3 linked regions of the Drosophila melanogaster genome follow. The protein of the gene in region 2 purifies or fractionates together with the protein of the main gene of each other region. This does not show direct contact. Each region holds a gene or a part of one and is shown on either strand. Other genes may lie near its edges.

What was found.
Region 1: the proteins of CG2070 (region 2) and jagn purify together in Drosophila melanogaster (affinity purification with mass spectrometry, with the first as the bait; one large-scale study listed by BioGRID). This does not show direct contact.
Region 3: the proteins of CG2070 (region 2) and CG31729 purify together in Drosophila melanogaster (affinity purification with mass spectrometry, with the first as the bait; one large-scale study listed by BioGRID). This does not show direct contact.

The regions. Positions count from the first base shown.
Region 1 is NT_033777.3:5,772,824-5,783,910, forward strand, and holds jagn (jagunal), read left to right. Parts: upstream 1-6,491; 5' UTR 6,492-6,604; coding exon 6,605-6,693; intron 6,694-6,976; coding exon 6,977-7,349; intron 7,350-7,411; coding exon 7,412-7,543; 3' UTR 7,544-8,485; downstream 8,486-11,087. Other genes in the region: kat-60L1 (katanin p60-like 1), read left to right, coding at 10,394-10,707. UniProt on the Drosophila melanogaster protein: Required for endoplasmic reticulum organization and proper vesicular traffic during vitellogenesis. Required for oocyte and bristle growth.
Region 2 is NT_033778.4:7,656,938-7,667,443, reverse strand, and holds CG2070 (uncharacterized protein), read right to left. Parts: upstream 5,590-10,506; 5' UTR 5,408-5,589; coding exon 5,328-5,407; intron 5,279-5,327; coding exon 5,015-5,278; intron 4,946-5,014; coding exon 4,529-4,945; intron 4,474-4,528; coding exon 4,257-4,473; 3' UTR 4,036-4,256; downstream 1-4,035. Other genes in the region: DCTN4-p62 (dynactin 4, p62 subunit), read left to right, coding at 1-43; Rdh1 (retinol dehydrogenase 1), read right to left, coding at 209-440, 498-757, 814-970, 1,035-1,298, 1,428-1,507; CG2065 (uncharacterized protein), read right to left, coding at 2,320-2,548, 2,610-2,869, 2,935-3,091, 3,148-3,404; Grl43a (gustatory receptor-like 43a), read left to right, coding at 6,856-7,935, 8,006-8,188; CG30495 (uncharacterized protein), read right to left, coding at 9,008-9,224, 9,282-9,710, 9,769-10,032, 10,146-10,231.
Region 3 is NT_033779.5:13,286,043-13,297,476, forward strand, and holds the start of CG31729 (uncharacterized protein), read left to right. Parts: upstream 1-3,954; 5' UTR 3,955-4,644; coding exon 4,645-5,249; intron 5,250-6,966; exon of another isoform or gene 6,967-7,036; coding exon of another isoform or gene 7,037-7,231; exon of another isoform or gene 7,232-7,373; intron 7,374-9,587; exon of another isoform or gene 9,588-9,716; coding exon of another isoform or gene 9,717-9,781; intron 9,782-10,305; exon of another isoform or gene 10,306-10,605; coding exon of another isoform or gene 10,606-10,703; intron 10,704-11,434. Other genes in the region: Drep4 (DNA fragmentation factor-related protein 4), read right to left, coding at 128-367; Uvrag (UV-resistance associated gene), read left to right, coding at 898-1,271, 1,332-2,199, 2,263-2,585, 2,638-3,048, 3,134-3,248; CG16824 (uncharacterized protein), read left to right, coding at 7,037-7,231.

The sequences.
Region 1 (11,087 bases), on a different chromosome or scaffold from region 2:
TTTTCGGTGGCATTGTTGAGCAGACTCTTTATTGTCGGCGGGCTCTCGCCTTTGCAGCCCTTCTTCTCTTGTTGCTCTAAGCCTTTTTGGCCTTTTTGTTTTGATGTGCTAATTTGTCAGCGCGCGGGAAATGCGCAAATCCGTCTCCCCGGACGACCCGGGCACCCCAATTCCGCCCACTTCTCTGGCGAAATGCGCATTAGAAATATGCGTGTCCTAGGTCAAGCCGGCTGCGGTTATGCCACGAGGGGCTGTGCCTGTGGGTGGGGGCGTGGCCGCCGGGTCGAAATTTCTGATATGGATATGGAAAAAGGGTCACAGAGCATAGGTGCAGAGGTGCGGTGCGGCCGGTACGGTGATATGATGGAATGGATTACTATTATGTGCTGACATCGAAGGCCATCCCCTTCGCAACTACCGATGATGCAGCTCGAAAATGCTGGCTGGCCAAAGTGAAAGTAATTTAAAGTTGGATGAGAAAAGCGCAAAATGTTGAAGCCAATTAGGGGTAAACCAAAAATATTGGATGAACTGAAGGCTTGGATACTTGATACTCCATGCGATTTTAAATTCTTTCGATTTACAAGAGCACAGAAAGAAAAACCGTTGAAGATATTTTAAAAATTTCAAAAGGTTGTTTCATTTCAGTTAAATGAACCATATTAAATGTATGTTTTACGAGAGCAATTCGCTGATCTTCTCAAAATTTGCATGCATTTCCGCCAAGGCCATAAGCAGATATGTGTCATAATTTTTTGTGTTTCAATTTCGACACGTGCTTTAATTAAACAAATGGGGATGATGATGATGACTGAAAGCGCATAAAGCCGCCAGTCAGACAAAGGAATTAAGCAAAAGGCGGGCGAAGGAACAGCGCTGCATGCACATAAACGACGAGCAACGAACAAACACCATTGTCAGCCACAATTATCCAGGCAGGTGCTTCGAACCCACAACAAAATCCGCCAAGGAGGTGGATTTATGGGCGGGCAGGCGTTGGCCCAGGAAGGTGAATGGGCACCTGGGGAATATACGCCTTTTTCGAGCGGTTAGCGGATGATGTGGGTGTGGCAAACAATGGCTGAATGGGATCCCAGTGGAGAGCGGGGAGGGGGGTGGTGCTAAAACTAGGGTGGCTGCAATTGATAGTGTGTAAGCCGATTGCTCAAGGCGGCAAAAGCTGCGGAGCATGGGTTCAGGCGGATCCAAGTAGTTGGCTGAGTAGCTGGGTAACTGGGTAGCTGGGTAGCTGGGTAGCTGGGTAGCTGGGTATCTGAGTATCTGGGGAGTTGGCAAAGCGCAAATATCCCATTTATGTCAATTCGCAAAGTTAAGCGTGAAAGTAGGAACTCAACTTCAAGGTTTTCCCCCAAACAGACGCTAAATTCCAAGAGATAAACAACGACTTGTCGGCAGTCAGCGAAACAGGAAGCAATGGCTCTTGGTAAACAAATCCAATCAATTTTTTCGGTGCCTTTGGTGCCTTGGAGCTTGGGCAAAAGCCATCATAGGGGTTCTGTTCTTCAATGGGTTAAAATATAAAAACAAACTCAAGCACTTTGTGTAAATTGTCGAGCCAAAAAGGGAATATAAGCACATGAATTTTGATACACAATTTATTCTTATATCGTATTTTACTAATTAGACTAATGGAAAAGACCTAACGTTTTGAATTTGGATATATTTGGATATATTAAAGAGCCCACTAAATATTTGCAACAGTTTAAATCCCGTCCTACATTTACAGGAGCATCCTGTTCCCCCTTGGAACCACCCGCACCAGCAGGATCAGCCCGGAACACTTAAGCCCAAATGGCAACACAAACACACGTCCTGGAAAAACCAACAGCCGAAGGATGACAACGGCGACACTTGAGCAAATGCGTTTGCCGAATCTTCCTTTATGCCTCCTGCCTCCTGCCACGCCCCTTGAGCCGCGCCCCTGCCCTGCAAAGTGGCAGGCAATCTTCGGAAATTCCTCCGCAACGATATAATGTATACGCTCGATATTTACGCATTTATTTATGCCGCTCTTTATTGGCTTTTTATCGTTCATTTATTTTGCTCGTTATGTTCGCGTCGTCGTAGTCGCGAACTCACGCCACCCAACTTATTTGCCCAGCTATTTTTGGACTCACGAGCGGAACGATAGGAGTGTACACGACATGGAATAAATGCATGCGTTGGCCCAGCGGACGGAGGATGGGGGGAAGATGGGCATGGCTTATGCGAACATCGATCATCCGCCAGTGAAAGGTCGTTCGAATGGAATGCAAATGAAGCTTTGGTCACCGAAATTCCCGCGCTGATTGATAAGCGCCATCATCAGCATCATTACCGCCATTATCATCCGCTTCCACTCGTCCCAAATTGATATGCAAAGTGTAAGCAAAGTCCGTGTTACTAACACCTGGTCCCGAATCCCCCACCACCACTGCGCCCTCTTGGCAGGCGAATCACCTAGCTCGGGTTCCACCCTCCGCCACCCTCCACCTTCCATTCCGAACCGAAATTTAATTAACATTTTTAATTCCTCCACTTGGCGCGGCCAAAGAAAGCCCTTCCACCACTTTCCTTGGCGGAGGGGGGGGGGGTATATTATTAATAGATTCAGCTAAAAAAAAAACAGTCTAATTAGAAGCTTAGTCGTTCCACAAACGAGGATCTAATGTCTCTTTCCTGAGGAGAAAGTGAGTTTAAACACAAAATGGGTATTCAAATTTGAAATCAAATACTTAGCAATATACTTAGATGTTTTGAGAAATCAATTTAAAATCAATCAGTATATGGTAACTAATTTTATTAAAGCAGCATAAAAAGCCATGCATTTATGATATCACAAGATATAATTAAAATAGGCTTATGGTGTTTAACCTCATATCAAATGTATGTACACAATAAAATGAATATTCTTTCAAAAGTGTCACTTTAATTCGTTTTTATTTCCCATTCATTGCCTTTAGACCACCCAATTTCTCTCTCTTTACTCTTGGTATTCGATGTATGGATGTGCAGAAATCATTTTGAAATGGATCGTCTGTCCAATGAACCCGGTCTTTCCAGTGAGTGTGCCGTGCCCTGGTCAGTCCGCTCACTTAAAGCTGCAGTGTGGATGCCATTATATGGACGTCTTTCCCTACTCCCATGCAACTCTTTGCCTTCTTCCCATTGCCCCCGACTGTCTTCACTTCTCCCAACCGCTGACAAATTCGCTTGGGGCTACTCTGCTAAAATTCCATTGAGTCCCCATACAATCCCATACAGAAGCATAAGCACTGCCACTGCTACATCCACGATGACCGCGCAGTTTTGGGGGCTATTTGCATGGGGACACCTATTTTTAGCTAGACAGTGGAGCAATGACTCTTTTATGCCCCGCGAGTGCGAATATGCCATTGGTAGCAAGCCGAACTGATTTTGATCGTTCTTGTGCCCTATAAGGATCAGGATCATCCAATCTAGGTTTCTTTAATACTAAAGAGCTGTATGCTCCGTGGTGACCTGTGCCACCTACGAGTATAGCCTTAGTTTGTTCTGCCGGCCAAAAGGCCATTCCAACTACTGAAGAACATACATACTCGTACATGGATTTGAGACCACCGAGAGCTGCCCTTCAGAAACACACACACATTTGTGCGGCGGGTGTAACCATGCCCATAGGAGGCAATCGGTCTTGTGATAGGGAACACTTCCGACGACCTTGATCCGAGCACAATTTGGCCCCACTCATTAAGGCGATGTGCACAACGTACGCGAGTGTTTCAGATTAATTAAAGCAGTCGGGCCAAGCCAAACAGCGTCACCATCAGCCGAGAAATACCGACTGGCTGTCTGAGCCCCGCCACCCACGGCCATTGGTACCTAATCAGATATGTATGTATATCGATGCTACTGGGAATTTGACTGTGCCTGGGACTGTTGTTTCTACTGGGAAAGTGTCATGGCATGGGTGAAACACATTTAACGCCTCGAGCCATAAATTACGAGCCGTGCCAGCAGCAGTGCTGACAACATAAATCTGAATTAGTGGCAAGCGGGGCAGCAAGCAACAAACAAAACCGAGTATCGATCTCACGATCCGTGGTCACTTAATGCCGGTACCTCGTAAATGGTATTCATAACTCTCACCCGCTCCACCAGGGATTCGGCGCGGCGCGCGAAGGAGGCGCGTTTATCGGCAATGGACATGGTTGGACTGGGGCTCTGGATGCGGTTCAGGATCGGTGACTGGGACTGGGCTATCCGGAAGATACTGGGAACCGACAAGTCACGCGGGGGTGTAGGTATCACCGGGGAACGCAGCTGAAATGAAAAGAGGCAGAACTTTAAACAGGCTGTTATCTATCTAAGGCACACGATCGATATGGTTTTAAGTCTGTAATAACTAAGCAAATATCGCACGGCACACGCTAAGTCGAATCATATGCAAATACAGTGGACATCAACAAGACCCAATACCAATACCAAATACTAGTTGCTAGTGCAAGTACAATCTATGCAGGAGCCATCTTGCTAGCCGAATTCCTTTTATTTCTATTCTTAGGGTTAACCAATTGGTTTATAGTTCATATAGCATTATTTGCCAAAAAAAAAAAATATATATATATATAATGGCAACATTCGAGGTGGAGGTCCCGGCCCCAAAAGTCATGAAATCTGCCGCGTATGTGTTTTCATTTTTGGCGAAAACAAAGAAAGACTCGGCGATGAAATGCAATTAATATGCAAGTGCCACTCATTGTGATGGTACTATTCTGGTCTATTACCTTATGGACCGAATCGCAATTATGGCGCAACTTCAACTTTGGACTCGAAAGTGTCAGCCACCGAGCTCAGCATAAATATTCGAGCGGAAATTATCAACAACTGACATTAAAATCGGAGCGGGAAAGACGCGACTTTCGGCCGGAGACGATCGCATGCGATGAAAACGCGTCCAAGTCGGAGGAATACCGCCGTAGAACTGATGACACACCCGGGCCGAATGCTCGACTTTTGTAGCGTAGCGAGCATAAAGAGAGTGCGTTGAAATGGGAAATTCATTATTTTATTTTTAAACGTCGTCGCCCTCTCTATTTTCGCAGATTGGCTTTTCCTCGCTTGTTTCTTGTTTCGTGGCAGATTGATTTATGGATTTCGGTGCAACAGGTGCTGGCCAGTTGACAGAGCGCCGAAAGTCCGCCGGACACACCCACTGCTTCCAATCTGGAAAACTGATTGGGACACAAAGCTGCATCCAATTTGCATAATCCCATCAAAGAGCACTTGCACCCAATTATGATAATTTCGGCTTGACGCACTAGGCATTATTGGCTTCGAAAAATTGGAACTGCAGTTCAAATTCAAAAACAAGGTACGGAGAAACTAAAACAAGAGGGAACGCTACAGGCGAGTTCCCCGACTATTAGATACTCCTTTCTCTGCTAGTGAAAGTTCAAACATGAATTTCAACATTTTCTGACATAGCAATAAAACTAAATTAATCTCTCTTATATATGTAGTTCCTGAGATCTCGACGTGCATACGGACGGACATGGCCAGTTCGATTCGGCTAGTGTTCCTTACCAATATATGCTTTATTGGCTCGAAAAACACTTCCTTTCACCTGATACATATTCGTTGAAAAAGGAATCTAGAATACTTCTTTTTTAATCTACGAGTAATATTTTTCATCGCGACCCGTTCATTAATCATTAATCATTACTAAATCTTACTAGTTCTGCCATTTGGTCTATAAGACATATTGGAATTGGAATGCAATTCAATTCATTTTAGTCTAGCGTTTGTACTTTTAGTAGAAATAATTCTCATATGGATGGAAGATTTCAATCGGAGTATTAAAACCAGCCCTCATTTTCTAAAATCGTGCAAAAAAGATATGAAAATTAAAGTATTAAGTGCCATTAATGCCATTAAGAATAGGTTTGGTTTTATTTTTCACCAGCCCACTTTTCAGATTAGCAATGCTAAACTCTCAGCATTACCTTTAAAAAATCGTTCTCATTTGCGACTAGTTCGAATATCTATCTACATTCTGCCGAAACTAACTAGAGAAAAACTGAAGTTCTACGTATGTAAGTATAACACATTTATTCTACACAGCATTAGCGAGGTTACACACCTAGCGAAGTCATCCTCCCAATTAAAATTTCCCTAAGCGGAGCTAGTCACCACGACCACATTGCCACTTTATTAAAACTAATAACTGTTTAATAACTGTAATAGAATAAGTTAAAATAATTAAATAATATGACTAATCACGTGTTGCTAATACAGTTAAAAGGCTAATTATTTAATTTAATTAATGTTTTGTAAACAGTTTCCATGCAGATGTATTAATAGTTTCCATGGCAGACTTTCTGAAAATGAACATTCTAAAACTTAGCGGAATTTCCCCTCTCTTTCTAACGGTTATTTGCTATGCTTTCAAGCGAAAGTAATCGATGGTAGCGAGGAGCGTATCGATGTGCGCCAGTTTTTTGGTGGCAGCGATGGTATCGCACACACATCGATTCTAGTGCCAGCCCTATTTTTTGTGCAATTATTTATTAAAAATAAGCAACGACGTGAGCGAACGACACGACCCACGAACGAAGGCAACGAAATGGCAACGCGCGGCGGACCAATGGTCGCGGGCACCGATGGCAACGACTTCGAGTTCAGGCAGCGCGTAGCTGGCACATATCAAATTAGGTTAATAACACTTCGTGCTATCGCCAGCTCTCAGCTACACTCGAAATTATCTAATTACTGGGGCGCCTGTGGCAGTAGATCCACCTGCAGGCGGCACCTACTGCAGCCGAATCGCAGGTGGCGTCCAGCCAGGGCGGCGGAGCACCCTGGAGCTGCTGCACCCACCCACTTGCTGCTGTAGGGGGCGGGTGGGCAAAGTGCCAGCTGGGCAGCATGTGCGCCCCAATATGGGGCTCACCCACACAGATCCGCCACTGAACGACCACTTTCTCTGCTCTTTTAGCCTGCTGAACAAGTCCAGGTTGAAGTACTGCATCTTCTTTCACGCCCTGCTGTTCTTCGTGATGCTGGCCAAGCTGACGTCGGACATTCTGGACCACCTGGATATCTTTGTGCTGGAGATCGAGGAGCTGGAGGTCCCACCGCCCCTGTGGTGGGAGTACGTGTGGGCCGCGTCGTTGCTCACCTCCTTCCTGGGCCTTTCGGCCGCCAGGGGCAACAAGGTGCGCGAAATGCAGAAGTATATGGTGGCCATACTGCTATTCGCCATCCTGCCACTCTTCTACTGCTTCGCCTACTACTTCTCGGACGTGTGGGAGTTCGCCACGCTGGACAAGTCGGTGGAGCTGGACGAGACAGACATCTTTGTGTGGCGCGTAAGTGGCTGGGCCAGTTAATCCCTCAAGAGCCGCCCTACTAAACCTCGGTTTTTCTACAGGGTTATCCGTACGGCGTCTTCTGGTATGCCTTCTGCTTTGTGGGCTTCCAGGTGCACGGATTTACGCTGTACTTCGCCTACAACCTGGTCAAGGCCTGGAAGGCCAGAACTGCCACGCGCAAGTTCCAGTAATCTAAATACTCGCCAAACTAGTAAACGCCGGAATGCAGGGCTAGTTGTAAATAATTTGGAAACTTGAAACTAACTCAAAACACTAGTGCACAAAAGCGTAATGAAACTATGGTAAACTAAAGTTATGCAGCTGTTAAGGTATCGCACACTTAGTCATACAGGAAGGGAAACATATGGTCGAAACTGAGCGAAGCGTCGGCGGTAAGGTTATTGTTAGTTGAAAGTTAGTTGATACCGTTTTCAAATTGATTAAATAGACTCTTATCCATATACACATGTACACCTATACACATAGACATACATATATACACACATACGCAGCCTTGTGAGGTCAACTAAAGACAAGAAGCAACTGAAGCCACCAAATTTCCCCGAGTCGGAATAAAAACTGAAAACCAACCTAGAGATCACTTCATTTTTGCTCACTTACATTTCGACGTGCCTCGTGTTTGTTAGAAACGTTTTATATATATATTTACACATGAAAATATGCGTACATCAGTTTATGTTTGCGTCCACGGATGGTTACTTCCTCGCCTAGTTGATAATTAGTTCACTTTTCTACAAATTTCGAAACCGTTTCATTTTTGCCAGTACGTTAATTTTGAATTTTATTCATCGAACCGCACAGTGCCATGCTTTAAGGCGTCTGGCCGGGTGCTGAACGTTTGAGAACTGCCCCAAACTATTTACAACCTTCTGTCACTGTTTACACACTACTATAAATAAGGATTGAAATGCAATTTGAGTGTTAAAGCAAAGTTCTTCAATTTCTGATCGTCAATAATACTGTGTAATGACAGGCATGTCGCCAAACTAAACTGAGAATTGAATTTTAATGTAATGATGTTTTTTAAATCGTAATTTATTATTCGAATTTTTAAGTAGTTTTTTAAAAATCGATCAATAAAGATGCATATATATTTGTTCTTCTGAGTGGGTTAAACATAGCATTTTATTGCGGTTGATTTAAAACAAATTTTGATAAGTATACCTATTAAGTCACTTAATGTTTATATGCTCATCTACAATATTTATCATAACTTTAAAGAGGCAAATACAAGTTCTCAAGCTTTATTTCTTGAAAAACACCACCAAATAAGGACCTTCGCCCAAAGCAATACAATCCAACACAACCCCACAGGCCGTTGCAATGCGGCTGGCAGGCCGAATTGGCCACAACAATCCAGTTTTAGTGACCATTTGTGCATCGAGGCGAGTGGAGGAGCAACAGCAGGCGAGCATTGCGCAATTGTTTACAATTGGCGACGGAGAGCCAGGAAGCTGAGACAGAGAGAGAAAAAGCTGTGGCGGAGAGCCAAAGCTTTTCCGCAGCATCCTTTTCTCCCTGCTCCGCCCGCTCTCTTAATTTTCCATTTGTACATTGCCTGTGCGAAGAACGGATGCCGAATTTTCCAACACACCATTTCGGACCGAAGTAAACACGAAAACTAAGGAAAAAAAATTGTGAAAAATTCAAAATTACGAAATTACTCGCACTAAATTTAAATAATAAACGACTGGTGGAGCAAAATGCGGGTCGAGGAGGCGACCTATAGGCGCACCACGCGCGAGAAGATTGTGCTGCGAGGGAACACCACCATACGCACCGTGGACTCCACTTCCACATACCTGCCCGTGATGAGTCCTGCGGGGTGAGTGCTTCGCAACGGCAAAGGTCCAAAAGGGTGGGTGCCAGTTGGAGGCGCAAGGCGTGCCGAGACACTTGAGCGTTCCATGACTGTCGCCCCGCAATCGATTTTTATCTCGCGCTGCAGCTGATTTTTAGATACATATACAGATACTATATGTGTGTGCGCGCATCCGAAACGGCCTTCGCTTGTGGCTCACCTCCGGATTATCGGGTTCTGCCTACATGCACATTGAAATGTGGACGAACCACTTCAAGCCTCCTAATGGCGGTGCTCTCAAACGTATGCTATAGTTTCTGGGTCCTCGGGGGAGGCCAACTCAAGAACCGGCTTTCTTTGGCCGCATGCAAGCCTGCCATTAAATTACATTGCCGGCAGATTATTGGGAAACCACTGCCGTTTGAGTAAATAGTCGGGCATACGCGAGTGAGTGAACGCCTTGCTTTCCCCAGAAATCGATGAAATCTTGAGCCAGAAGCTAGCGTGCATTGACCACAGTCCAGCGCGTTGGGTAACCCGAGGAGTTGAGAGTGCTGTGGGCTTACATAGAAGCACGAATGTCCTTTAGACAATGAGGAAACTTCGATAAGCAACTAGACATTAGTAGAAATATTATATATTTCATTTATTTATATATTGTATATATTCTTTTTTTTACCTATCAATAGCTATATACAAGGAGCATATAAGCAGAACAAACATAAACCCATTAAACTGAAATCCATATATTTGAATTTCAATCAATATTTAGAAAGATGGCATTTCCTAGCTCCGATCGGCGATTTCTTTATTTTCCCCCAAGTCGAGATACTCTTTCCCCGTAATTTACCATGATTGAAACCGCCCCCCAAAGTAGCGCCCAAGCGAAACTTCCTTTAACCTCAATCCGCATTCACACGGACGCACACCAGGCAACTGGGAAAACTACCCGGTCCGGTCCGTTCCATACCGGAATGGTAGTGGTGGTCGGTTTGTTGTGGACGCGTCGTCCAGTCAAGCGGTCAGTTTCAGTTGGACTGCAACCCTCGAGTCGGCTGGTCGGGTCGCGTTTTCGAACTCCGAGTGCGAGCCAATCGAAGGCTCCAGGCGCAGACTGTCAGGTAGCAAAGTTTCCGCCCGAACATATCCGCGTGTGTTTTTAAATTAATAGTGAAGTGTCTGTGTCTCGTCCTAATCTGTGTGACGCCGGCACAGCGCCATGTTCAACACCAGTGCACAGAATTGGTTCGGCATGGGCCAGACAGCCGTGGATCCGAGCGGCGGAGTGGCCCAGTTGCTCAACAACAATTCGAGTCTCTACAATCAGCAGCAGCAGCAGGCGGCGGCGGCGCAACATTCCTTCATGCGCCAGCGATCGCTGACCAGCTCCAATCCCGTCCTGGGGCGTTCAAACGCCTTGGCCACGCGGCCCCAGTCGCCGCCCAACGTCCAGGTTGAGTACGAGGTGGCGGTACCCTTCGTTCCCACCTACCGGCACACTCCATACCACTCGCTCTGGGATCTGCACCAATGGTAAGAGCTAGTAGAGATCTGTGGGCACAAGAAATCCACTATAAATTGGATTACTTCCGCATTTGAATTCCTTGACCTGGCAGTTGGTAACTAGCTCGTTGGTTGGTCAACTATCAACCCAAAGTATTTCCTTTGTTGCATACAAGAAAGCCACCGGGTACCTTCTTGACCCCATCCAGTTTCCTTTCGCGAGTATATTTCTGCCAGTCATAATTGGCATTTTGCTGTAATTTGCATAGTACGAAATGTCTTGTGTTGTGCCAATGGGATTAGCATAAGCACCCCTTGGTGACACGATTTCAAGTGGCCCATCATAACTACGAGTCCAAGGAAATCCGCCATCACTGGACTTTCCCATGCCGGGGTTTTTCCACGCTCAA
Region 2 (10,506 bases):
GGTGTTTATCACGGCGGGAGCAACTGAGCAGAAAGCCAACTAAACTGGAAACTTATTAGCCAACAGGCGTACTAATCGACTTATGCGAAATATGAAATATGCTTTATGAAAGCTAGAGAAATATGTATTTATTTATTAATCCGTTCGTGAAACAGCAGCTAGTATTCAAGTATAATAAAAGGCTTGTTCTAACACTATTCGTTCTTCTTTAGTTATTAGCTTCCAGCTTATCTAATCCGGTCCACTTCTCGCTCTCGGCCCACAGGAACTTGGCAACCTTATCGTCCAAGGCACCAGAAGCCACAGGCTTTGGTTTGCAGTCACTGAAGTACAGGCCAGAGATGTTCTTAAGCTCCGGATCCAAAGCAGCGTAAATCGAGGTCTGAGCTCCACTCTTCGGTGTCTTTAAAAGCGGCCAAATCATTGGCTTTAAAAAGAACCTAGGAAGGTTAACAGGTATTACTGGGAAGGTCCTAATTCACTTATTCATCACTTACTTCACAAGGTTTGTCTGGAAGAAGGCCCAGTTCCGCGCCAGCTCAGTGTCCACCACACCAGGGTGAAGGGCATTTACTGTGACTCCGCTGCCCTCCAAACGCTTGGCCAATTCCCGGGTGAACAGGACGTTGGCCAACTTGCTCTGGCTGTAGGCTAGGCCCTCATCATACGACTTCTCGCTGTTGAGGTCGGCTACGTTAATGGAGCCACGCGCATGTGCCAGACTGGACACAACGACAATGCGACTGGGAGCCGAGTTCTGAAATTTTGTAAGACCATTATCTGACGCACTTGACTATTATATAGCACACTTGCCTTCAGTACGTCGAGCAGCAAGTTAGTCAACAAAAAGTGACCAATATGATTTACTCCCAGCTGCAGTTCGTAGCCATCCTTGGTTAGGGTCTTGGGACAACGCATCACGCCGGCATTGTTGATCAGGACGTGAAGCTTGGGTTGCTCCTTCTTGAAGCTGATTGATAGGATAGGTTTTTAAATCTTACAGAGACAAGAAAATTCTCTGGAGGTAAGCTTACCCATCAACAAATTTGCGAATGGAGTCTAGGGAACTTAGGTCCAGCTCTCGAGAGAATATATTCTGGTTATTTGTCTCCTTGATGATATCCTTGCGGGCCTTTTCACATCGGTTCATATCCCTGCAAGCCAAGTACACAGTTCCCCCACGTCTGGCTATCTCCAGAGCCGTCTCCTTGCCAATGCCCGTGTTGGCACCGGTCACAATGAATACCTTTCCGGTCTCATCGGTGTCCTTCGTAAACTTTCCACCTTGCATGTACTCCCTGGAATTATCAATAGGAATTACCTGAAAAGCTGTTATCTATTACCCGGGGGAATCATAGTAGCGAGTCATGGATGCGTAGTCACACTGGTATATTTCATAATTACACGAAATAATTACCGCAACTCACTTCAAGAAGTAGATGCCCACGCCGATAGTAGCTGGCCACATAATCAAGGGGCTCAATAAGCAATCGATGAAAATGCACATTTTGAATATCTTTGTACAATTCCTTGTATTTAGGGTGTTGTCAGATCTTATTTCAATCGTTGAGTGCGTTCTGGTACGAACAGCACAGCTGTTAATATATTACTGAGCACAGCTACCCCACACAAACATATATTATCGCTAATTCGGAGTGAGAACCTGACGAAATGGAGAACGTCGGGAGAGAGATTCTTAACGAAGGTCAAGAGAAAACGAATTCTCAATAATATGTTATGATAGTGGAAAGCATTCAAACAAATAAAAGCAATTCCATTGATGTTTATATTTACTCAATGGGTATATTACGCGTGGAGTAAAAGGGTATAATAGGTTCGCTGAACAGTATGTAACATATAGAATAAAGTTTATATTTAGACTTGATCAGCAACACTAGTCAAAACGATCCATCCAGCCATATCCGTCCGTTTGAACGTCGAGATATAGGGAACTAACTGATTCGTTATGTTACATACATACTTTCCAACTAATTTAGTATACCCTCCTACTCCAGGAATAACGGGTACAAAAATAAAGCATGAATCATCCAAATTGATTCCATCACTTTTACAAAAAAAACAAAAGAATTTGACCATTTTTCTTTAGTACTGAACACAGAAATGCAACAATGTTGATCTCAAAATACAAATTTTAGATTAGGTAAAGCTTTTTTGGGAGCATTTCTTTATTTTCAGCTTGTAGAATCCGTAAGAATTCTACAATTCAAACATAAATTATTACATTTTGCGTTAGTCTTCATTATGATAAGCTATTAAAATAATAAATTATGAAATGGCGAGGGATAAACTAATGGTTGCTTAATCAACTTTGGTTGAATTCACGCCGGTCCACTTCTCGCTCTCCGCCCAGAGGAACTTTCCAGTCTTGTCGTCCTGGGCAGCTGCGGACACTTCCTTTGGCTGGCAGTCGCTAAAGTAGAGCCCGGAAACATCCTTTAGTGCAGGATCCAGGGCTGCGTAGAGAGTGGTCTGCGCTCCATTGCGAGGGGTTTTGAAGAGTACCCACAGGAGGGGCTTGAGCAGTAGCCTAAGCGATACGAGTGTTAATATCAAACTCAAGTAGTGCCCACTTATGTCTTCTATCTTACTGTGCAAAGGGGTGTTTCAGGAACTTCCAATTCCTCGACAGCTCCGTGTCCACGGCACCGGGATGTAGGGAGTTGGTTGTGACCCCCGTTCCCTCCAGGCGCTTGGCCAATTCCCGGGTGAACAGGACGTTGGCCAGCTTGCTCTGACTATAGGCACCGATTCTGCTGTACGACTTTTCACTGTTTAGGTCGGCAGTTTTAATGAAACCTTGGGTGTGCACCAGGCTGGAAACGTTCACGATGCGACTGGGTGCAGTTTTCTAGTGAGATTAAGCAGGGAGTTTGGTTAACAAGGTGCTAAGAAAGTCCTGAGTACCCAAAATACCTTCAATACGTCCAGCAGCAAGTGGGTGAGCAGGAAGTGTCCCATATGGTTGACTCCCAACTGCATTTCGAAGCCATCCTTGGTCAGTGTTCTGGGACAGTGCATAACTCCTGCATTGTTTATCAGGACATGAAGCTTATCCTGCTCTTTCTTGAATCTAATAAACGAGGGAAATCAGTAACGCATTCGTCGATCTATCATGTTTGCGTTTACCCAGCAGCGAATTTGCGAATGGATTCCAGCGAACTCAAGTCCAGTTCTCGAGAGAATATGTTCTGGTTATTTGTCTCCCTGATAATATCCTGGCGCGCCTTCTCGCACCGGTTCATATCCCGGCATGCCATGTACACAGTGCCTCCTCGCTTGGCAATCTCCAGGACCGTCTCCTTGCCAATGCCCGTGTTGGCACCGGTGACAATGAACACCTTGCCGGTCTCATCGGTCTGCTTGGTGAACTGACCGCCCTGCATGTATTTTCTGAAATTCATTAATTCTTATCACTCTATTTCAACACAGGCCGCAATTCACGAGCGTATTAATCATTACTCAGCAGTAGAACTATTCCATGCAAATACCTTAGCAAGTAGGCAGCCAGTCCGATAATGGACGGCCAAAAATGAGGGGGCAGCACAAGCAATTAGTAAGGCAGCCCATTTTGTTTGGATACAGTATAGATCTTGCCGCCGTTTGTGTTCGTTTCACTTGCTGGTTCTGTCAATGAATGTTTGCCCGTCCGTTTGGAACTGCCTTTTATACGAAATGTACGCTATCTGCTCCAAAATACACGAAAGCCACAAAACGCTTACTCACGATGAGTTTGATTCGAAACTGCGAGAGAACGAAATATGTTTGGGGTTTGCTGAGAGCTTTTTGCTTCTAGTTTATAAAAACCTCATTGCAAGTCGAGCAAATGCATGATAAGCTAAATAACTATCTGCAAGTCTAATTTAATTAATACCTAATCTTATAATACCATATTATTCTATTATTATTATTCTTATTTATATTCTATTATTTTCGATTAGTTTTTCACCTGCTTCTATGACAGCTCATGACTTAAACCGAAATCATATATTGCTAAATAGTTCAGATTCTAGTGACGCCAAGGCAACGTTAACTAAATGTTTATTTAAAAAATGCAATTACTAAATCAGTTTATTTAAGATTACTCAGATAACTGGTTCCAAGACTTCCAGCCAAATGTTTTTAAAATGTTTGTAATGTTTTTACAAAAGTTGAACAGAACATCTAGCTCATTTAGCTTATTCTATTAAATGTATTTCAACAATACAGGGTAAGAGTTAAAAGAGTCATAAAGTTGCTCATATATTAATTCCCGTCCACTTTTCACTTTCCGCCCATAGGAATTGGGCATCATCGTCATACTGGGCGGCCGAGCCCACGTGCTTCTGCTTGCAATCGCTGAAGTATCTTCCAGATACTTTTTCCAAACTGGGATCCAGGGCAGCGTACAGGGTCGTCTGTGCGCCATTCCTAGCCGTCTTTATGAATATCCATATAATAGGGGCTATGAGCAATCTAAAGGCGAGCCGAAAGTTAATAGCTGATGGGATGATGCAATCAGCAAACTTACTTTCCAAACCACGAACCCAAAAAGGGTGTATTGCGGAACAGTTCCGTGTTTACTACTCCGGGATGTAGGGCATTTACCGTGACCCCTGTTCCGCTCAGGCGTTTCGCCAACTCCCTGGTGAAGAGGACGTTGGCCAATTTGCTCTGACAGTAGGCCATCTTTCTGTCATAGGACTTTTCGCTGTTCAGGTCGTCACGCTTAATCCTTCCGAAGCGGTGAGCAATGCTGGACAGGACCACAACGCGACTGGGCGCGGAACTCTTCAGGACATCGAGAAGCAGAAGTGTGAGGAGGAAGTGGCCCATGTGATTCACTCCGATTTGCATTTCAAATCCGTCCTCCGTCAGCATTTTGGGGCAGTCCATAATGCCGGCGTTGTTGATAAGAATGTGAAGCTTGTTTTGCTCCCGCTTAAAGCTAAAAAGTATTAAATTGAGTACCTTTATTTATATGTGTATTCATTAAGGTCAATAGGAATGTGCTTACCCAGCAGCGAAGTTCCTAATGGACTTCATGGAGCACAGGTCCAATTGGCGTGCGAAGATGTTCTGGTTGTTGGTCGCTTTGATGATCTCCCGACGGGCATTCTCGCACTTCTTCATGTCCCGACAAGCCATGTACACGGTAGCTCCCCTGCGGGCCAGCTCCAGAACGGTCTCCTTGCCAATCCCCTGGTTGCAGCCGGTCACAATCGCCACTCTGCCGGTCTCATTCGTTTTCGTGGTGAACTGACCTCCCTGCATATATTGTCTAACTGGCTGAGGTTAAAGGGCCATCACTGAGAGTGGACAAAACTCACCGGAGCAGATAGATTCCGATGGCCGAAAGAGCTGACCCATATGCCAGCGGGCAGAACAGGTAATCCGTGGGTGCACTCATCTTTCCGCTCCGAATGCTACCAGCTCCAAGTGGCGACTGGCCAGATCCAGTCCCCTTACACATTTCTTTATACGAGCAATATCAAAACCTCGGAATGTCCATACTTGAAACATTAACGTGGACCGGTATAAAACATCGTTTTAAGTTTAAGGTTGGAGGGTTTACGATTGCCGCGTCGCCGAGGGAAACGGATGCTTCCGTAAGTTTTTATCGTCCGGCCAAAGTTTATTATGTAAGCTGTATAGATAGAATCATAATAACCGTCGATCATAGGGTAATGTAGATATAGCTAAAGTGTATTACTAGAATGAGTTTCAGACCTAGGCTTTCAGATCGTCTTAAATGATGAATGTGGGAAAGCTCTCTATAAATACACCTTATTTAAGGCTCTGTTTTCACAGCAATCGATTTGTAAAAATTACATTTAATGACCAGCTTCTGCGATGACGAGGGGAAGTAGTTAGTCTTCCATGTTATTAGCTTGCATAAATTAAATGAAATGATAATTTTTGGGCAGCAGCTCCGTTTATTTTTGGATTGAGCAATACTTACTTAATTTACCATGTAATTTGTTGGAGAGCCTTTTGTTTTGTTTGGGCCTTTTACTTTCATTTGGCCATTTTCGTTAATGCGAATAGTACTAACACCCGAATTCGATTCGATTAACATACTGGCCGGAATACAATGAGCACAGGCTCGCATTCACCCGGAGCCATGTGGTCCGCCACCAACTTTCGCAGGCATCAAAGAAAGCCAAACCAAGTTCTCCATCGGTGGTTTTTCAAGGGCAGTGCCTGGATCATCTACGAGCAATATCAAAACCTCGGAATGTCCATACTTGAAACATTAACGTGGACCGGTATAAAACATCGTTTTAAGTTTAAGGTTGGAGGGTTTACGATTGCCGCGTCGCCGAGGGAAACGGATGCTTCCGTAAGTTTTTATCGTCCGGCCAAAGTTTATTATGTAAGCTGTATAGATAGAATCATAATAACCGTCGATCATAGGGTAATGTAGATATAGCTAAAGTGTATTACTAGAATGAGTTTCAGACCTAGGCTTTCAGATCGTCTTAAATGATGAATGTGGGAAAGCTCTCTATAAATACACCTTATTTAAGGCTCTGTTTTCACAGCAATCGATTTGTAAAAATTACATTTAATGACCAGCTTCTGCGATGACGAGGGGAAGTAGTTAGTCTTCCATGTTATTACCTTGCATAAATTAAATGAAATGATAATTTTTGGGCAGCAGCTCCGTTTATTTTTGGATTGAGCAATACTTACTTAATTTACCATGTAATTTGTTGGAGAGCCTTTTGTTTTGTTTGGGCCTTTTACTTTCATTTGGCCATTTTCGTTAATGCGAATAGTACTAACACCCGAATTCGATTCGATTAACATACTGGTCGGAATCCAATGAGCACAGGCTCGCATTCACCCGAAGCCATGTGGTCCGCCACCAACTTTCGCAGGCATCAAAGAAAGCCAAACCAAGTTCTCCATCGGTGGTTTTTCAAGGGCAGTGCCTGGATCATCTACGCAATCGCCTGCGGACTCCACTTCTTCAAGCTGCACTACAACGAGCGCACCAATCAAGTGGAGGAGTCGCAGTACCATCGAATATGGTCCAAGATCGTGGTTGTCCTCAAGGTCATACTGCTGGCCAGCCCGTATCTACAGTACTTCGTACTCGGACTGGGCATATACATCCACATCACACTGGTGCAGGACAGCAAGGCGCAGAACTTCCTAATGAGTCTCATTGTGCTCGGAATCGTGATAGGCGTCCTGCGGCGCCTACTAATCTTCCTGCACCTGAAGAGGGATCGCAGGTTCCTGAAGCATACTGTGAACGAGATCCTGCATATAACCAGCGCGCTGGAGCAAAAGTTCGGTATGGAGTATAAGTGCGACTCCACATTGCTAGTGGTGTACCTGGCTAAGCTGTGGATACTCACCGTCATGCTGGATTCCTTGTGGTACAAGCCCTACTTCCTCTCGTCCATCTTCCTCTACTGGGTGCTGTTGGAGTACTGCTTTGCTGGCTATTTCATTTACCAACTCATCCTGCTCAGCTGGTACCACACCATTATTCTGTTCCTGCAGCGCTTCATCGAGGACCATGCGAATCGGTTGGATATTGAGCTTCACTACCATCGGCGCCTGATCCCGCTCTTTGAGCTCCATTTGCGCATCAACAATCTGCATAAGCACGTTAGGGACAACGTCTCCTGGCTCTCGACCTCTGTTTACCTGATGATCTTCACCTGCATCTTCAACGCCGAACTGCTCATTGAATGCAGTCTGTTCGCCGGAGACGAGCTGGAGAACAAGATCTACATCATCACGGACGGTTGCTTGGGACCCGTCTGCGTTCCGATACTGTATGTGCTTATCCTGGGCATGTGCACCGATCGATTTCGCGATGCTGAAGTACAGCTTCAGCAACTGTTCGTAATCGTTCAGGGCTTGTATATGAGGAAGGTCAGGCCACACCTTCTAATCGCAATGGTTCTCGAAAACGAGGTGAGATCTGCTTCGGCAGCTGGCTTCCCTGGCCGACTTCTCCAATTCATTCCCAATTACATTTCCGCAGCACACCTCGTTGATAATTCACCAGAAGCTGAAACCGCTCGAAAATATGATCATCCTAGACATCACTTGCGACAGGGAGTTCGTCATGGACTACATTGTCACGGTGATCCTTACAGCATTGTCTCTTGTGCAGTACACCATATCAACTGGAGGAAATATAAGCGAGTGCGTGACCCATAAATAGCAACCCATCTGGACCACACTATTAGGAGGATGAGATCATTATATAACTGTGGAGCTGGACACAGTTATCGTATAATTGCGTGGGTCAAAAGAACTTCCTTAGCGCCTACAAAAGTGTATCTTTTGAAAGCAGAACTCAGAGCTCGTAATTATAAAGCACTAAATGCTTACTATTTAAATGCTACAAATGGTTTTATTGTTTTTATACAAAATTAAGGTTTATTGACTGTAGTAGTAAACTTGTCAGATACGTGGTTTTACGCACTGCGATTCAACAACACAGGATTTCCCGTTTGCATAGAGAATTATGAGAATTCGTTCGTTTCAAGAAAATCCCGTGACTCTAATGAGAACAAGAAAATGCTGTCACTGTCGATTTATCCCTTTAGTTTCGATTTCACGTGATGCTTAAGGTCCTGTTCTCGTTTCCTCGGCAGACAAGAGATGCTCAATTGTGCATAAGATTTGCCACACTGGAGCCCAGTTTTATTTAGCTTACATATAGTTTAAATTTTATTTAGTAAATATGACACATGTTCCTATCTAACATATTACCTGAACTAACTATACGATTTACTTGTAAAGTAACAATCAACCTAAATTATTGTAGTTAAGGTCCACGTAACAGGTAGGATATATGAATCAGGATATCATGTTCCTCGACTAGCAAATCCTTTAATTGTTCTTATTACCTAGTACAGGCCATTGAATCTGGTATATCCTATTATACTAAGAGTGCGTACTTCAATAACCACGGCTGTTGTGAAATTTAAGTGGCTTTAATTGCGACTAGCCCAATCACACTATTCCAGTAGCCCATTTACAGCGCAATTTTCGCCCACTTCTCGGACTGCGCCCACAACCACTGGGCCATCTGGTCGTCGAGGGCAGCGGGAGCTACCGGAGCCAGAGCGCAATCGCTGAAGTACTGACCCGACACTCTTTCGAGATCAGGATCCAAGGCAGCATACAAGGTGGTCTGGGCCCCGTTCTTAGGCGTCTTCATCACGGCCCAAAGGAGCGGCCTCAAAATGGTTCTAAATGAAAACCAAAAATTAGTAAGTGTATAAAAAGAGAATTGAAAGAGGACACACTCTACCACATACTGAGCAAACTTTGTTTGGAAGAAGATCATGTTCCTGGCTATCTCCGTGTCTGCTATTCCAGGATTAAGGGCGTTGACCGTCACGCCCGTTCCCTCCAACCGCTTGGCCAGTTCGCGGGTGAAGAGTATGTTGGCCAGCTTACTTTGGCAGTAGGCTACTCCCTCGTCGTAAAAATCAGAGCTGTTGATGTCATCCACCTTAATCTGACCCCGTTCGTGGGCCCTGCTGGCGACCACCACCACCCGACTAGGAGCCGACCTCTCCAGCACGCCGAGCAGTAGGTTGGTTAGCAGGAAGTGTCCGATGTGGTTTACACCCAGGTGCATTTCGAATCCCTCTTTCGTCAATCTATGCGGTTCCCAAAACACACCAGCATTGTTGATGAGGATGTGCAGCACCCTCTGCTCTTTCTTGAAGCTGTTTGTGAATGAATTGTTAGTTCAAGAGAAAGACACTACGGAGTGGCATGACTCACTTCTCTGCAAACTTTCGAATGGAATCCAGGGACGACAAGTCGCACTCCCGTGAGAAGACATTGGAGTTTCCGGTCTCCTTTACGATTTCCCTGCGCGCTCTCTCCACCTTTTCTTTGTTGCGGCATGCCATGTAAACGGTGGCTCCTCTCCTGGCCAACTCCATCACGGTCTCCTTGCCAAGACCCGTATTTCCGCCAGTAACGATGGCCACTTTTCCCGTCTCATCGGTCTGCTTCCTAAACTTTCCGCCCTGCATATACAGCCTGATGTGTGTTAAAACAATGCATGTTAATCGGTGATAACTACTTTGTCGTCACTTTTATACGTCGTCGATAACGCTTCTCAGCGTTACATTTTAAATTGGCGTCTCACTTACCTCACGCAGAAGGCGATAATGCCGACAATCCCATGGGCCAAGAAGACGGGTGCTATGCTTTGCAGAAACCTTATAACAATTTCCATACTGGCTAAGCGGTCCGCTCCTTCTTGTGGTCTATTCCAAAGTGCCACCGCGGGCGAAATTGTGCGGGTTTTTAAGAGATCGCCGCAGCGATTACCGGACGACAACTGATAAAATTGATAGTACGGGCTTCTATAAGTGTTCTTTAATCAGAGAACCGCTATTCGAACACATTCAAAATTGCTTATAGCGACAAGAAGCCGAAACCGTCAAACTTTACAAAGAGCGAAAATGTTGCATACTGCCGAAATGAACCTAAACTTTTGGACCGAAGGCT
Region 3 (11,434 bases), on a different chromosome or scaffold from region 2:
CGCGGAAGCCACTGCCAGGGACATGGCCTTGAAAATTACCAGAGCCAGGAACTTTCAGCCCATCTACGTGGGTGGGTGTATATTTCGCGCTTTTACGCAGGAGTTTTTCCTGTTTTTTTTTTCTTACCGGGAACTTGCTTTTTGCCTTGGCTATCAGCATTTCCAGGGAATTGGCTCCGATTCCGTATTTCCTCGTTCGCTCGTTGTCAGTAACCTTGTAGCCACGCATTGGAGCACCTGCTGTTCCCCTGGATTCGGATGAGCTCACATCCTTGAGAACTTCGCCTGTTGGCTGGCTGCTTTTCTTGTTATTCGAGCTGCTGCGTGTTGTCGGTGACATGATTGCATCTCTAATGTAGCTGATCATCGTTCTGGCTCATAATAAAGTCAACTTTGGAATGTAGTCCTCGCAGCAAGTTTCCTTATCCGCGGACAAAGCAAAATAAACTAGCAGAACAAGGCATTTTTCGCGCTTCTCAACACTAGATTCTCATTGAAAGATTCTTTAGTTGTGCTGCAATTTTAGCTAAAAATTGCAAAAAGCTATATAATAATAATTTATTTTTTCCCGTGTTTTGTAATTAACGAAATATTTTTTATATTTTTATTAATCAATTCAAATTGATAAAATTTTCATTTATTCTTAAATTAAATAATGTGTAAATTAATAAAATGAAAATAGCCAAATTAATAAAATACAAGTTGAACGGCGCATTTCCCACCACTATTGCCTTCAGTGTTTTGCAGCACTTATGCATCTAAAAACAGCTGTTCGGGTAATCATTTTTTTTGTTAAAAGTTTCTGTGGAAAAACTATAACAAACGTAGTCTTAGTGTACAATGATCTGGGCTACGGGCTCCGCGTAATCCGCAGCTCACCCGGAAAGGCGTTTTACGATGAATCTACGGCCGCGATGCCGCAAGTGGCTGCCCCTAGCCACCCAGCAACTTCGACTGCGGAACCTTAACAGAATTCAGGGATTCAATATTGAGTCCTGGCCGCATGAGAAGTCGCTGGAGCTAGATGATCCGGATGATGTGCTCCTCTACTACACACTACACACGGACAAGGCTAGCGAAGCGTTCTACACCAGCGAAAAGCTGCCGCAGCGTCACCAACAGCAAAAGTGGGCGGAGATTTGTACGGACGACGAGGCCTGGCGGAAAACCAATGCGCAGTGTGTCTGTGTCAAGGTGTGGAAGCACTATTCGGCGGAAAGAAGAGATGGCCAACCGCCTGAGGTTGAGCAAAGACATAAGGATGTTTTCGGGTAAATAGGAGACTTTGCTTGCAAATAGAACTCTGCTATCATCAACCAACTTACTTCCAGAAGATCCCAGTTAACGCCCAGCAGGCTGCCACGCCCTCCTGAACTACTGTTCAGCTGGGGCGTCTACTTCTCCGGCCTTATACCTCTGTCTCCCCTCACATTGTCCCAGTGCGGACGAAATTGCTTGGTCTTTCAATTGAATGGCGAGCAATTTGCCTCCCCGTCGATGATAAGCGAGCAGGCCTTGCAGTCGCAGCTGCATTTGCACTACCAAAAGTATGCGGAGGAAGAGAAACTAGAAGAGCCGCAGGATGAGGGCATAAACTCGCCGGCCGTTAGTCGTAGTTCGAGTCCCGTGCTGCGAATGAGTACGATGCGCTATGCACAGCTGAAGTGCCAACGGCAGGAGATTCGGCGAAGCAACAACCTCGAAAAGCTTCTCACGTTGCAACGTCTGCAACGCTTGCATCAGCAGAAGCGGCGTCAAATGGCCGAGGTTTGCCGAGAAATAGCCCGCCTCAGTGTACACTGTGTGACCAGGAACGAGCTGCGCTTGAAGCCCCGCACGACATCGCTGTCCGGCGACTACTCCGCCCATCAGTACCATTCCATGGGCCGCGCCCTGAGCGTGTTGCTCGCCGAGCAGCAGCAGATCGCGCCCCTCACGCTTTATAATGCCCAGCAGCTAACTAGAAGGATAGAAGCGCTAAGCAGTCAACAGCGGCTACTTAAAGCGGAGCGGGAAACGTTTCGCCAACGAAACGAGCGCACCCGTCAACTTCTGAAGGAGATGAGAGAACAGCGGGAGGCACAGCAATGGGAGCTCCACAGCCAGCGACATCGACTGGAAAAAGAACGTCTGGAGCTACGAACCCTGGCACCTCAACATCTGGAACAGCGCGATCAAAAAAGACAAATAGAACGGCAGGTGGGGCTGCGGAATCAAATAACATTAAACAAGTATATTAATAAACCTTTTCACCCTTTTAAGGTGGAGCGCCGAATGTCCACACTGGTGTTGGAGCTACAGGAGATCTATAACATCCAGAATGTGGGCGGTCGGCAATTTAGTATCTGCGGCATCGCCTTCCCCCACATGGAGCAATACACGAGCGAGTCACGTCAGGCGGCAAACGCACAGCTTCTGGATAACGTCTCGCCGCTGGCAGTGAGTGCGGCACTGGGTTATGTTGCCCATTTGGTGCAGATGTTAGCCATCATTATGGATCGACCTCTGAGGAACCGTATTCTGTACGAGCCATCGAAAGCAAGGATAGTGGACGATATCAAAGAGTTGACGTACACAACAAGAGAGTAAGCACACAGACTAAATATTACCTTTTGGTATCTTATTGTTCCATCTTAGATTTCCTCTGTATACACGCTCCATTTTGCCGTCGCAGCAAACAAAGTATGCCATCTACCTTTTGCGCCAGAATGTTTCGCAGCTGTGCTTCGACATCACGGGCCAGTGCGATCTGCGAAACACTTTTGGCAATCTGCTGGAGCTATTCAGCACTCTTCGCTACATCGAACGAACGCAAAGGGATGAGGTCGACGAACGGGATGGAACTGCAGTTGGAGCTGGCTGTGGAGAAGCACGCTTGGCAAATGGGTTGACGGCGCCGCACCTGTCGCAATCGCACTCTTCGGTCGACATGAATCATGTGCCACTGCCGACTGGCGTCAATGCGGTCAAGGATGCACTGCTCCAGCAGCTGTTGCCGCCGGGTGTGAGTGAGGCACTGGCAATCGAAGGCTATGCGTCAACTCAACGGTAATCTATATATACATATATTTAGAGCCAAAAACAAAAACTACCGGATAAAATTTAATAATAATATATTGTAATATTCTTGCAGCATTTGCCGTTCGGTGGGGTCCTATTCAGATGGCGAGGATGAGTTTCGCCCGCGACTGGAGCATAACTATTCCAATTCGGACTCCAACATAACTCTGCAAACTGAGCGCAGCTGAGCTAATGCACCCAAAAGTGTTATATTTCCAGCGTTTATATCCAATATCCAAGATAGCATTGTTTAGCGGCTCCTCCTCAGCGGGTTTCTTGGTATTGGCCGCGTATTGTATACTTTTAAATTATAAAAGTCAATGGTGAAGTATATGTGAACGGTAGTCCATTGCGATAATATTATTTTTAGTTGTTTAAGATCTCTGTGTAAATTCCCTTTTATTGTTTGTTTGCTAATATAAGCTACGAATAAAGATTAAATATTTTATACATGACAAATATTTATTTAATATGGATGACAAACATTAGAAACACGTCGATAGAGATTAAGTCGAACAATATCCAAGGTCACAATAAACGAAGTGGTTACGATGCGGAAAACCTAAGCCTTTCTTCATATGTTCTGAAATAATGCTGAGCCCCAAAATTAGTTTATTTGTATATTCTGTTTGAAAAGTATTTTTATGAGTTTTAATTATAGTTTGAATTAGGCGCCAAAAAGTGTTGCAAAGTATGAAGATAAATTGCTCCTTTAACTTATAAAAATTATACCATGTGCTACTGTTACTACATAATATTGTACAATCTGCTTATATTAACTTTTGCTTTATAATTTAAAATGTAAGTTTTGCTTTAAATCCTTAATAAACTCAAAATATTACAGCCACTGCTTGGTCAGTGCTGCAAAACGTTCCGTTCCGTTAACAGTGGTCTGTAAAGCCAGCTGATTAGCATTTCGCCAAAATTATTTCGCTGGCAACTTGCTTCCGGGATTTGAATGTTTTTCGGGCTACATCCGGGCTATTAATAAATAAAAAATGTGTTGTCAAATACCCAAACAACGTCCAAACGTAGTGCGATAATCGATTTAATAATTGAAAACGCGAAAAGCCTGCAAACCAACGTGCTAAATGAAGTGCATGTGCATATGTGTGTGTGGCCCGGGCCTTGGCCTTTTATTTATCGAATTCGTATCAATTAAATTAAAACGCTGAGCAATAGTAGGCAATTGGTATTTATGGTGACGATTTGGTAGCCGGCAACTGTAGCCACTGATAAGCGGACGACGGGGAATGCCTGTGATTTACGCGTATATATAGTGTGTTTACCCTACCTGTTTACCGCTCAAATAAAAAATAAAAGAATAAAACTCCAGGTGTGATAAGGAGCAGCCGTCGTTCACGCCTGAAAATTGCTCAATGGAAACGTGGCAATAAGACTAACTGAGTACCCAGCATTTAATTTTTCTGAGATAATATCATCTGAAAGTGAGAGTAAAACTGCATTTCTGGTGCTAATTAGTTAAATTCAGGCGCCAAAACTCTTTCGAACAGCTCTTTTAATCAAAACTTATTACTTTAAGCTGACTACGCTTGCTCTCTTTTAAGCTCTCTTGTTTTGAAAATGGCTGAGAGCAATGTACCGCTACGAGATTTCGACGAAGAGAGCGAAACGGATTCGGAGACCGAATTGCTCATACGCCGCGATGTACCGAGCGGTAAACAGAACAACAACAACATTAGGGGGCGACGCAAAAGCTCCATGGGCTACAGCGGCGTCGACGCCGGCGCTGGCAGCTCTGCCGCCGGCGGCGGAGGCAGCTTTCTGGGCAATCTTTTCGGATCCAACAGTTTTGGCTCTGCCGCCGGCCAGATACGTTATAGAAATGAGCGGAGTCGCGAGCGCGCCAAACACTCAAACGGTAGCTACAGCAGCATTTCGAAACTGGCGCAATTAACGCACACGTCATCGGGCGTCGCGGGGGCGGGATCGATCGGTGGCGGTGGTGGTGGGAGTGGCAGTGCCACCGGCATTAAAGTAACCACTGGCGATGGCAGTGTAGCGGCATCTGGAGGATCTGCTGCCACGGGGGATCTCAGCAATGGCGCTACGCACAGCACAACCGTCATAGATCCGGAAAATGGCTCATCCACGGTCTTCTACCAGCACAATCGGCGTAAAAGCAAGAGTCGCAGCATTGGCAACGTCTGCAAGTTGTGCCTCTGCAGGTGAGTGTGCATTCGGTGCGATCCAGTCGTTACCCTCCAATGCCAACGCTGCGTATGCGCAATATTTCCATTTCACTGCTGCAATAGTTGGCGGCAGCGGGAGTAATGCGAAAGTATATAGTGCCGCAACAGCTGTTCACTGGCCAGCAAAATATTGGGAATTCAAGTGTTACCTTTAGGGAAAATGGTTAAATGTTTTATATTTTCGCACATAAGCGTTTAATGGCGATTGAGACCCTTTTACTTTTACCACAAGGTATTGAATAAATTATAACTATAGCAGGAAGCAAAAGTTTTAATCTATCACATTAAGACCTCGAAAATTTGTATATTTTTGAAGAAATATTATCTCTTATCGCTTCAATTTAAATGTCTTATGAAATAAATTAGTTTTGTGGAATTTTATAATCTGTGTTTCCGTAGATAGTTGACTTTGAACGTAGAATACCATTGCTCATAAAATGCTGACAACACTAGGTATAAAACTGTTTTTCATCGTAAACTTCTATAAATAATTGAAATGTATATTAAATATTTGGCAAGAAAAAACGTTGACCTCTGTAACGTTCTAGACATTCTATCACTTTCGCAACTCAACAGTTGTTATGGCAAACAAGTTGTTGTTTTGTTTCTGCCACTTGAAATATTTGTTTATTATTTTTTGGCATGAGCCAAATCATTGTGTGGTTTCCCAAAATGAGCAGCGTTGTCTTGCAATTTGATGTTCTTCTTAACTTAGAACTTTTACGAAACACATTTCCAAGAAAATAAATTCTAGCTGAATGTGTGAGAATTTGTGCGCCACACATGTGTGACATACACAATGAATGCAACTGTATGTAAAGCATATATGTATAGCATATATATATAACGATTCCAAGATATATTTTTAATTTACCTAATTAGAGAGAACTTTTGAGAAAGGCCGCACATGCGAACAAGCAAGCACGTCTGTAAGTGGATCGTAGAAAGAAAATTAAAAACATTTCGTTTTCTGCGCGCCGTCGACGGACTGTGCAAATCGATAAACGTGACGACTTCCAAGACTGGGGGAAAAGATTTCGACGAATGGAAAATAATAACAAAAACACGGCTATAAATAGTGGCCAAGACGAGCGACTTGGTTGGGTGACAAGGCATAAACGAAACGCAAACATTGCCATCCATGCCCCGCCTTTCCTTGCCATTTCCTTGCTCCACACCCACTAAGCGAGCGTTTTTCTTATTATTTTGTTTTGTTTTTGTTTTAGAGTACAAACTCTTGTTGCCGCAAAACTTTGGCCAAAAATATCACACACAACACCACCCGTTAGCTGTGCATTTTTAATCGATGTTTGCCGTGCGACTTTAAGCCCCATTGGTGGGCGAACGAAAATAAGAAACATGAACGAAAACGACTCAAGAAGTCACCAAGAAATGCTAAAAAATTCGAAAACCAGTTCCTCAGCTGGTTTTGGCCACACAACACAATCTTGTATTCAAGGTTTCTAAAAAATACAAACGAGTTGCACACAAGAAGTGAGTCGCTTTAGGGTTTTTAGTTTTACTTTTTCGGTCGGACTCTGCTTTCTGTGTTAAAAATTGAAAGTTTCTCTGCCGCCCAACTTCAAATAATTGCAGCATAGATCTGCAGATTGATATGGTTATTTAAACTTCTAAATTTTCTATGTTGACAAAGCGTTTCCTTATGTGAACATCTATTTGTCACTTGAATGTGAAAAAAGTAAACATTGACAAATACTGATATAGAAATCGACAAAAGTGGGAAAAGACAATAGCAAGTCAGAATGGCTGGACGCGAGGGCGGTAAGAAGAAGCCTCTAAAGGCGCCCAAGAAGGACTCGAAGAATCTAGACGAGGAGGACATGGCCTTCAAACAGAAGCAGAAGGAGCAGCAGAAGGCTATGGAGGCGGCCAAGGCAGGTGCCTCCAAGAAGGGACCTCTTCTTGGCGGCGGTATCAAAAAGTCCGGCAAAAAGTGATCCATTGCCACACCTTCATCTGTATATCTTGGCATATTCAAAACACACCAATGTGGACCAACTTTTATTATCCCTTGAATTGAAGTCTTCACGTTATTGTACAGCAAATTACTGAAAAAACATATAACTTTTGGTGTTTGGTATTTGTCTTCATCTCCAAATTCAATACTTCAATGTCATTTTTTGCCTTTGATGTGCGTCTTTAACTCGTTATCGCCCACTGACCACGAAAATATCTTGAAGCCTTTACACATTCAACTTCTCCTCAAGGTTTCCTTAATCAAAGCCTAGCTGTTTTCGGGGCGCTCGAAACTTTTCTCGGGTTTTTCGTTACATTTTGTTCACGCTCAACTCCAATTGCCGCCGTTTCGGTTATATGAGGCTCAAAGATTTCGACAGGCCGATTAGAATTGCAAAGTGAGGCGCCATGCGGCACAATTTGGTTGGTGTGATTGTTGTTGCCACGGTGGCCACTGTGGTGGAACCAGCTATCTTCCAAAAATATTCCATTGCTCTATCAAGTGAGAGAGCTACTGATAACCTAAGGTGCTTGTCTTTTACAAGGCAAGTAACTTGGATTACTTACTAAATTTCAGTTAAATTTTGAAAACAGTTCAATAATCTCCTGAAGTCTCTAATCAATCACTTAAGCTAATTGTAATGGCTACAACCAAAGCCATTACCACCAGCTGACAAAAAAACTTTTCCCAAGCTTTTTTCACTTAGCCGCATCCAAATTAGTGCGCCACGCCCCCCAACCCCCCTGACCACCCTCGTGGACGCCACAAACTGTCAATGGTAACGCCTAATGTTATTATTTTCTAGTCGCCGTTAGCTGTTTATCTAGTTGCGAATGCAAATGGCTGGGAACAGAAAAAGCCATGGCAAAACCGGGGGCTTGGAGGCTTGAGCGGTGAAATGCCTCAACGATTGACGCCCGCAACTTGGCCTGGCATTGTTTTCCACCCACCGGCAATGTGGGTTAATAACCAAAAGGCAGAAGGCAGAAGGCGGCGCAAGTCACACTATTCATGGCTCACCTCATTCCAATCCGGTTACCCGTGAAAGGGTATATTGTACACGTGTTAGCGTTCCACTCCCGCCCGAATAGCCAACCATATTTGCCTTTTTCCGCAATCGCCATATGTGCATATGGTACATATAGCAATATGTACATTTTCGCTTTTCAAAAATAATAATATATTATCGCTAGCCAAAGTTGCAGTTCATTTGAGGATTTTACAAAATTTCCGTGATGTAAGCTCAAGAAACTGGAACAAAATAATTAGTAATCCATAAAATATTTATGTACAAGTACTAATGAGTAAAGCAGCCGTTCGATTTAAAAAAAATAATATTTTTAAATAATTCATATTTTTGAATTTAAGCTGGTATGACTGTAAAGTAATATATTTAAGGGTTTTTAAGCCTGATAAGTATAAGTAGCAAGTAGCTGTAGGTAATTGTAATATATACAAAATAAAAAATAACTCAAATTTCTAGCTATAGGTCATTTTAAACACATTTCTGAGCCCTCAATTATGTAGTTTACTTGTGAAAAAACTTGTAAATAGTTTTCTTTGTGGCACACAGCCAATAAATAAAAACGGCTGAAGAAGTTTAAAGGAATAAGCAATGAGTAACCGATAGGCTATGCATAAATAACACAAATCATGTACTCGTGTACTTAGAAAAAACTATATCAGTGAAAAATAGTTTTTCCCCTGACAATTTCGTGGCTTTTTATGTTTGATAAACGGGGTTTCGGTTAAAAAGAATTTTAATGGGCTTAAATGAGTTTTGTTTCATTTTACATGCAATAATTTTCAGCTTTTACAAACCAAAGTAGTATTCGAATCTTTTATTATTGTTTTGATCTGGGTCAAAGATAATGCAATGCTATCAAGCCACAGAACTGATAAAAATATTTATCTTATACACCCATTTAAAAGATTTTCATTCGATATAATTATATGTCATCCATATCCACAGCTCTATTATTCTTATATGTATGATATTAAAACGTAAAGTTTTTAAATTATAATTGTTTATTTTCAAGTAATAGCGTAAAACGTGCATTTTTGAATCATTAAAAATGGGAGATCAAAAACTTGAAATCTCGAAATTTATAATGCCGAAAATGTGCACACTTGCAAAAATCTCGTTACTAGCAGCTGGTTAAATATATATTTAATAGGAAAGGCGGAAAACAATATTTGCTTGAGAAGTAGCATGGAATCCAAACTGCTGAGGTCTACAATTCGTTTTGAAATTTCCAGTTAATTACTCAGAACGAAACGAATTGCGGCAATTGTTTGTTATGGCCACTGCAATTGTTGACGATTGCATTTCAATTCAGTGGGTAGACAGGATGAGATACCTCAGCTGAATCGCAGTTCGATTGATAAGCGAGCATCTAAAAATGGCGAAAATACAATAAAAACGCATCTAGGCGTATTTAACGAGCGTGACACATATCGGGATTATGGCGGAGCCCCAAGGCTTCGGCGGTAAGAGCGCTGACTTTGAAGTGCAGCATGAGTCATACAGGTGAGCTAATTCTGCTGGCCCTTTTGTTTTGTCTGTTGCTGTAGCAGACTGGTCGTTGAACTTTCCCTTAAGCATTTTTGGCAACTTTTTCTTATGAGATCATGACATGAAATCGTCTGGCCAACGAATGTGTGTGTTATATTGACAAAACTTCGAAGCGCGCTCCTATTCGCACACGTCTAGCGCAAGCAGCCAAATAGAATGGTCGTAAAGAAAGAAAAAATGCTGTTAAAAAACCAGTTCGCTCGTGGGCAAACAAATAAGAGGAGCAGCACATCGCTAGTGCTGATCTAAGCAGCTGAAGCGTAGACAACTTGCAAGAGCTTATTTAATTAACATCCGAGTGCTAACGAAAGCGACGAGAAGACCTGTTGAGTGAGCAATAAACGTGTCATAAAGAAACCCGCCCGGCAAACAACTCATTTGAAATTGGCGCCCAAAGTACGCGCGTTGCCAGATTCGAGTAGCAAACTCTAATGGCAGCGCTGGCGAACGACAATCATATATAGCTGTCACTTTCCCCCTTATTGATTTATATAGAATCGCAAAAACAGGGTTGTTAAACGCGCAGACGACGCAGTTTTCATACGGAATTTTCACTTTATCATTTGTTTTGTGCATAAGAATTTTGCATAACGCACTTTTATTACTCGGAGTGCTCTGTTAATAGCGTGTGCCATGAGCCGCGCCTGTGATAATGTGAAAAGGGCCGAAGCAAAATATCGAATTGAAGTGCCAGCTGCAACTGCTGAGAACAAAAGCTGCACAAGACTACATAAATAATTTCGGGAAAATCAAATAAGTGCGAATCTCGGCCAGCAAACATGGATGATGCTACCTCCCAAAACTCGGCTGCAACGCCCATGACACGGGAGAACATTCCGTTGCTGAATCGTCAGCGAAATCGCTGGTATCTCTTTAGGTGTGAATCATAGGCTCAATTAAGTGTGCCATTTGCTTATCAGCTTTTTGTTGCTGTATACTTATACTTAGAAGCAGACTGCAGTATAAATATGCAACATGCACTATACTACAGCTAATCTCTTTCTAACACAAAGCCAGGCTTTCCACCTCCCACTCGCACACTCTCTCTCTCACTCACTAACACCCACACACAAATGCATATACACCATTAACATTTATTGTTGTTGTCTGAATTTTCACTTTTGTTTTTTTATTCGAGTTCTTATTATCGATTTTCCACCCAAGGTCGTCTGCCACATTTGTATGTCTGTAGCTCACAGAATTTGTGATTGAAATTTTAATTCGCTGGGCAGAGCACTTGCTACCAAATAGGGATTTCCCATCAGAATATGAATATTATAGATTCAATAACTGTTGGAAGTGCCTTAAAAGGCTTACTATTCGTGGGAATTAAATTAAATATGGAAGTCAATGGTTACAAATGGCATATTCATGCGTCATTAATGTTTATGCATCAATCTAAATTGTTTTTAAACTATTTTTTGTATTGTGTGTTACATGACACATCATCACTTAGGATTTAATTGTTAAAATTATCTATTGATTTCAATATTTAAGGTTTCATAAGCATGTCATTGTTTCTTTACACCCCCTTCTTTTCGTTATGTTTCGAACTAAATACAAAATTCTATGTAAACCAGTAAAGATAGATTCACTAAAGCTTGAATC